Notamacropus eugenii: one gene and its partner. The protein of the gene in region 1 interacts with the protein of each later gene in a pairwise test. Links are inferred from orthologs where the notes say so. Each region holds a gene or a part of one and is shown in the gene's direction. Other genes may lie near its edges.

Region 1 (3,912 bases):
CTAGGGAGACAAAAAAGGGCAAAACAGGGCTTCCCCTCAAGAAGCTTACAACCTGTAAATAGGTACACATAAGAGACTGAGGGGGAGAAGATGGAAGTCAGTGGGTTATCTGGGCTCATTTCAGTTCAATTCAACAATCATTTATGAAGCGTTATGTGCCAGGCACTGAGCTTTGAAGATACAAAGACAAAATGAAAGAGTCCCTGCCTGCTCTTAAGAAATCCTTGTACTGGGGAGATTAGATGTATGCAGATAAATAAATTTCCAAACCTTGGATTTATGCATGAGTAGTTTTGTGCTGGAATTTTCCTGCCACGCATGAAGCCTGGGGTTCAGTTCCTGGTCTATGTCTTTTTAATGAGGAGAGGGGGAGGGACAGTTTGATAGAATGGAAAAAGCACTGATTTTGGAGGAAGGGGACCTGGATTCAAATCCTGCATCGACATCTATGAAGCTAGAATGATCTGAGTTTCTTCCTCTGTAAAAATAGCCATTTGGACCAGATAGCCTTTGAGGTCCCTTTGAGTTGTAGATCTCCAGCCCTCAGGACTGAGGGAGTCAGAAAAGGGCATCCCTCAGGAGTGGGCAATCAGAAAGCTCTCCCAAGTCTAGGGGTGATTTTAAGGGTCTTGATTCTCTTGGGGGTGTGCCTCTCTCAGTGCGGGGGGAGGTCCCCTTTGCTAACTCCCAGACAGCCGATCAGTGGAGGGGGCTCCTGTGTTGGGTGAGGGCAGTTTCACCAGTAGCTGCAGCTATGTGGTTTTAATCTGGGAGCACCAAGGCGGAAGTTATTGTTTACATCCAAATTGGACTCAGACTTCTCATTCCAGCTGCTTTGCTGAAGGCTCGCAAGGCCTCTGGAGAAGAGGTGTCCCTTGTCCCTTGCACAGGCCCCACACAGTCCTTAGCCTGTGGCCCCATGAGGCCTTCAGGGGACCATCTCTCGACAGCCTGAAACAGGCCCCCATTCTCTTTCTCTGCCAGGGCTAAGGAGGTCCAGGGAACATGTTAGCCCCTTTACAGGGCATTCATGGGGGTAAAATCGGGTGTGATGGCAGGACAGGAGGATTCAGAGAAAACTCAGGGAGGTAGAAAACCCAGGCGACCTGATTCCCAGCCTTGGGCTCAGCCTGCTGGCTCTCACCCAGATCCTTTCTCCAGGGGAAGGGAAATCACACCTCTGGGGGGACGATAGGGACAGGGACTCTCGGGACAGTCAGCAGCTGGGAAGGGGGTCAGCGTGGAACTCGGCAGTCATCCGAGGGGGCAGGACAGCAATAGGGGTGGGGTAGAACTTCTCCACCCTACCTGCCCCTGGCCAATCAAACCAAGAAGGGGAGGGGGGAAGACAGTCCAAGGAAAGGGAGAGGGGGATGGGACAAAGGGAAAGGAGGCTAGAGAGATTTCTGAGCAGTCAGAGTAGGGGAGAGGGGGTAGTGTTGGGACAGGGGGAGCGGGGCGCTGAGCCCCGGGGCAGGTAAAGGAGTTGTTTCCTGTCAGAGGTTCCCCCTAGAAGTCTTTCACCTTTTATGGTAAAGGGATTGCTGTGGGACCGGCTGGGAAAGAGGGAGGAAGAGAAGGGAGTGGGGGAGGGAGAGAGGGAGGAAAGAAGAGGAGGAGGGGAGAGAGGGAGGGAGGAAAGAAGAGGAGGAGGAGAGGGAGGGAGGGAGGCTGGCAGGCTGGGGCCGGGAGAAAGGAAAGGGCTGTGATGTCAGCGGGGAGGCTCGCTTACCTCCCTGACCCCGGCAGAAGGCACTGCGGGGCTGCCGAGAAGGCGTCCGGGACTGGCGGCGCCCGGAGCTCAGGTGAGCGGAACAATGGGGACTCCGCGGCAATGAAGGAACAGTTGGGGAGGTCCGGGCGGCCGCGCGGCTGCAGGTTCGAGCCCCAGCTCCCCTCGGGATCGGGGGAGGGGTGAGGAAGGAGTCTGGGGGAGACCCTCTGAAGGACAGAGACGGACAAAGCCAGGGGATCTGTCCCGAGTAGTGCCCGGGACCGGGGGAGGTACCGGTCCGGGGGTGGGATGGGGGAAATCGAGGAGGTAGGAGATAATGCTCACCCCAAGGGCAGGAAGGGGAGTGAGTGGCAGCACCAGTGCTCTACAGACCTCAGCTGCCCGAGCATCAGCAGACACCCTACCCAACTTCTTACCGATGGTAAAGGAATTGTCCCCGTCTCTGTAGAGACATCCCCCAGGCCAACCCAACAATCCAACAAGATTTCGAGCTAAAAGAGCGCTTCGAAGTCTTCTCGGCTAACTCCTTCACTCCACAGACAAGGAAACTGAGGCACAGAGGGGTTTAGTGACATGCCCAATGGAGATTCGAACCCACGTCGTCTATTGTAAATCCAGAGCTCTCCCACTATATTAAGTCGAAGCATCTGCTTCTAAATCCAGACCCTGGGACTCTGCCTGGTTCCAATCTCTACACTCATGGAGGGGGAGGGGAAAGGGGGAAAGGGAGAGGGAGGGGAATGAAGGGAAGGGGTAGGTGGGGGTTGGTGGTTCATAGCTTCACTAGTCCCTTCAAAGGATAACCTACAGTTCCCCTTGTCCGCTTGACAAGGACTGGGCGCTGCCTATCCCTGGGACACCTCCCTGGCTGGGAGTGGAGAGTTTGTGGAAAAGGTCAGCTCACAGGAGAGGACCTTCAGAGAAGGTTGGGGGTCTGAACCAATCCTCAAAGAGCTAGGGAACAGACGCCTTCCAGAGGGCTCCTGGTCCTCCTTGTAGATAATAGAATTTTAAGCTGGAGCAAGTGCAGAGGTCATTGATATGACCCCTTCATTTTATGGGTGAGGAAACTGAGACCCAGAGAAGGCATACATACCTAAGAGGCACAAAGCAGTAGAGCTAGGACTCCCTCAAATTCAGGACTTTTCCTCCTACAACAGTCAGGCAGGGGGTCCCCTCTCCCTGCCCCTCACTCCATCATCTCTGTGCCCACCCTCCCCCTGAGTAGGGCAAGACGTGGAACAGTCAGTGAACATTGCCCAGCTTCTTGGGGCCTCCCATCCACCCCCAAGCTCTGCTGAGTGGAAGGAGAGGCCAGAGAAAAGCTATTTTTGTGACTCCTAATTATCACAGAAGATTAAAGCCCAGTCTGTCCCCTGGGACAGGACCTGAGCAGCCCGAAGTACTGGGTTTGTGCCCCTTCTGGAGTACCACCCAAGCTCTGCCGCCCTCCCCAACCCCAACTCCACCGACTCTGTGTATGTGTGTTTGATGTCTCTTGTTTTTACATCACTTTCATTTCCAAATAGAATCATTCCTCCTTGTAGCAAAGAATAAAAAGGAGAAAAAAAGGAATTTATCAAAACTCACCAAAACATCAACCAAGTCTGACAGTCTATAAAACGTCCTTACACATAGTCTTTCACTTCTGTAAAGGAACACCCACATCCCTCCCAGTGATTAGATTAAAGTATTTATCAATCCCTTACTAGGTACCAGGCACAGGGTTGACTATTCCATACCTCTCCCCTTCTCAGACCCTCCTAGCTATCCTTTCTAGAACCTGTCAGTCAGTTAACAGGCATTTTAATGGTATTTTTCCTCATTGCAGTTCTTCCCATTTTCTTGCATTCTTCCCATTTTACAAAGAAGTAGACTGGAGTCTGGGAGCTGAAGTGACTTAGCCAAGGTCCTACAACCATTAATTGTAGAGGCATATTGCCTGGATTCGATTACTTGCCATTAGTGAGAATCCAGGCAAGTCCCTTTGCTTCTCTGAAACTTGATTGTCCATATCTGGAAAATGGGAATAACTCCATACTTGGACTACATCCCTCAGAAAACCTTTGTGAGAAAGAAATTTGTAAAAGCCAGAACTTTTTTTTTTTTTTAGCACAATTGAAATGGGAGTGGCAGAATGGAAGACTTGAACCCAGGTCTTGTGACTGGCAGATGGG
Region 2 (2,991 bases), on another chromosome or scaffold:
TGTCGAGTAGAATTTGAAGTCTTCCTGACTCAAGGTGCTATCCACCAACCTCAGCTCATATTTAAGAGTTAAAGTGTTTTCCTCACAGCAACTCCGAGAGGTGAGTTGTACAAGTATTATCTTGTTATAGGTAAGGAAAGTGAGACTCAAAGAGGGTGATTGGTTCAAGATCACAATGACAAAGGCAGGATTCCGAACTCAAGTCTTTTGGGTCCAAGTCCAGTGTTCTTTTTATGTCTCCCACACATAAATTTAGGAATTTTTAAATGTTAGTCTTCATCTAATTCTGAAATTCTGGCTATACTGTGGAAGGGGGCATGAACCCCATTTCTCATCACTTTGTGTCACATCCAATTCGGTGATCCCCAAGAGTTCCAAATGATTCCAAAGCACTCCCTTTCCTCTCTTTTCCCCTCATATTCTCTCTGGACTTCTGCACTTCCCACTTGCCAACTGGGTTTCTCCGGGGTCACAACAACTTCGGGGCTCAACCCCTTCAGTTTACAGTCACAAAGGCCCTAGGTGCTGGACTGGATGGGATGCTACAGCCGTGTCTTCATCAAAGGTGGAAGTCCTGGCTCACTGTTCGGCTCCTCCTCACTCACCACGGTCTGGACAGTTTTATTAACTGTTGGTGGCAAAGGGAAGTCCCACCACCAAGTTGCACTCCATACTTAGTGTAAGGATGACTCCACACTCACCAGCCCGACACTGACGCAGGGATTGGGCGGAGTCTTCTGCCTACCGCTCCGCCCCAAACCCTTGTCACGTGCTATGGGGAACTGACTAAGGGTTGGCCGGCTTCCGTCTCGCGCGGAAGTCCTATTTTGGCTGCGAACAACGTCTAGCCCTCCCTCCCCTCCCCTTGGACTGTCCTCCTCGTCATTCTACAGCTTCCTACATCACGTGACGAGAGAAGACCGCAACGAGTCGAGTTCTTGGGCAAATGATTTTTAACGGTCATTCAGAGGCGGAGGTGGGGACGGCACGTGTCCATGGATCCAGCTCCTGATTGGCCAATCCTTCCCTTTCCCTCCCATCGCCCAGCTCCTCTAGAGGGCGGGGGTAAATCGAACACGCTGGACCTCTGGGATTGCGGGAGGGGGGGCGGTAAACTAGGAGCTTCCTTCGTCACGTGGTATGGTGAGGGTTCGGGCCTGCTTATCACGTGGTCGCCATACAGGTATGCTTCCCCTGATTTTTATGTGCCAGGCTCTGGGACAGTTTCCTCTCGCTCGGTGACGTGACCTTTGACCCCGACCCCCTCCCTTTGGCCGCCTAGGCTGCATGTTGGTGGGGCGGGGCCCCCAGGTCTGGCTCGGCGGAGTGGTGAGTGACGACCCCCTCCCCTTTCGGAAGATCCTTGAACCTGCCCACCCGGCCTCCAGATCCATCTTCTACCCTCCCCTCCCCTTCTGGGCAAGAGTCCGTGCCTCAGTGTCCTAGCTTAGGGTCTGGGCTCTGCATCCGGGATGACTGGCGGTGAGGAGGGGGAGGGCTGGGGCTGCGGAGCTGGGCTGGCCCTTTGATGGCGCCGCCTCCCCTCCCCCCAGGCCGCTTCGCTCCTGGCCTTCCTGTGCATGCACTCGCTGCTCGCCTGGTTCCCCCCCCTGCGGCTGCTCCCCCGAGCCCTCTCCATGACCGCTCGACCTCCCGAAGGCCCGGCCCCCGCCCCCACCGGCTCCGACTACGTCCCTGGCTCCGTCTCAGTGGTCTTTGTAACCTGCCCCAATGACAAGATCGCCAAGACTATTGCCAGGTTGGAGGAGGGGTCGGAGCGTGGGGTGGAGGGGCAGGCGAGAGCTTCTTGGGAGCCTTTGGGGTACAGGGCGTGGGAAGCAGTCTGCTCCGACCTGAGCGAGCTTCCCCGATTTCCAGGGCTGTGGTGGAGAAGCGACTGGCCGCCTGCGTCAATCTTGTACCCCAGATTACGTCTATGTAAGTCTTGGGAAGGGGTGTGCTGTTTCCTAGGGAGGGAGGGTGTGTATCTCCTCTCCCCATTAACTCATCCTTTTGTTGTCTTTCAGCTATGAATGGAAAGGAAAGATCGAGGAGGACAGTGAGGTGATGATGGTAAGAGCTCCCCCCTTCCAGCTCTTTCCTCCTAGGGTGTTTAGCTCCTGCTCCTCCTGTTCAGTTTCCTGATCTAGACCTCTCAATCCTTCAGATGATGAAGACTCAGACTGCCTTGGCACCGCCCTTGACAGAATTTATTCGGTGAGGACATCAAGATTAGTTTTCTGGTGGGAGTGGGCGATGATGTATTTTCAGGTGGATGAGGAAATACTGCTCAACTTTTGTTGACCTTTCCTCTTTCTCTAGTTCTGTTCACCCATACGAAGTGGTAGAAGTCATTACATTGCCTGTGCAACAGGGGAACCTTCCATACCTTCACTGGGTAAAAGATAGCACCACTCATCAGTGATGACTTCTCAGGCTAACTTCCACACACTTTCTCTAATAAATCCTGACCCCGTAGTGCTGCCTCTTGATCTTTTCCTTATTACATGTATTACTTGCTGTGAGTATTCATTGAGGGTATAGTAGTAAGCCCCAACCCATTTCCATCCATTTTTCCTCTATCAAGATAATTCAAGTTTCTGAAGGGTATATTTATCTTTATTTCCAACCATACAGAGCCCAGGATTCCCTGTTCTATCCCCCTCCCCTTCCCCTAAGGGGTTAAATAACTTTTAAAAATATAAAAAAAGCTGTAACAAAATATCACGGGAAATGGGAAAAAGGCTGTAGGGTCAGGAATCATGAAGGGGTGGCTGAGGAAGAAAGGGGCCTCTCCCCACCTGACTCCAGCCTGGGTGGTAGGGAAGGAGCCCCCCACCCCAGACCACGCCCCCAGGTACATCCCAGCTGCAGGTGAGGTCAGAAGTCAGGGTGTGAAAGTGCCAGTTGTATGTGTGTGAATAAGGGCTAGGGAGAGGAGGAGCAATCAGCTCCTCCTTTTAGAAGATGCCTCCTCCACCCCACTCCACA

The links.
Region 2: the proteins of FBLIM1 (region 1) and CUTA interact in binary tests that used the Homo sapiens proteins (3 or more experiments, as listed by UniProt). The two-hybrid records come from large-scale screens. The link is inferred for Notamacropus eugenii from reciprocal best matches to the Homo sapiens genes FBLIM1 and CUTA.

Annotation. Positions count from the first base shown.
Region 1 is NC_092876.1:55,217,575-55,221,486, forward strand, and holds the start of FBLIM1 (filamin-binding LIM protein 1), read left to right. Parts: upstream 1-1,513; 5' UTR 1,514-1,532; intron 1,533-1,670; exon of another isoform or gene 1,671-1,749; 5' UTR 1,750-1,805; exon of another isoform or gene 1,806-1,878; intron 1,879-3,912. UniProt on the Homo sapiens protein: Serves as an anchoring site for cell-ECM adhesion proteins and filamin-containing actin filaments. Is implicated in cell shape modulation (spreading) and motility.
Region 2 is NC_092873.1:89,415,481-89,418,471, reverse strand, and holds CUTA (protein CutA), read left to right. Parts: upstream 1-1,055; 5' UTR 1,056-1,140; coding exon 1,141-1,183; intron 1,184-1,212; exon of another isoform or gene 1,213-1,282; coding exon 1,283-1,329; intron 1,330-1,553; coding exon 1,554-1,759; intron 1,760-1,878; coding exon 1,879-1,938; intron 1,939-2,027; coding exon 2,028-2,073; intron 2,074-2,167; coding exon 2,168-2,217; intron 2,218-2,322; coding exon 2,323-2,425; 3' UTR 2,426-2,478; downstream 2,479-2,991. Other genes in the region: PHF1 (PHD finger protein 1), read right to left, coding at 2,961-2,991. UniProt on the Homo sapiens protein: May form part of a complex of membrane proteins attached to acetylcholinesterase (AChE).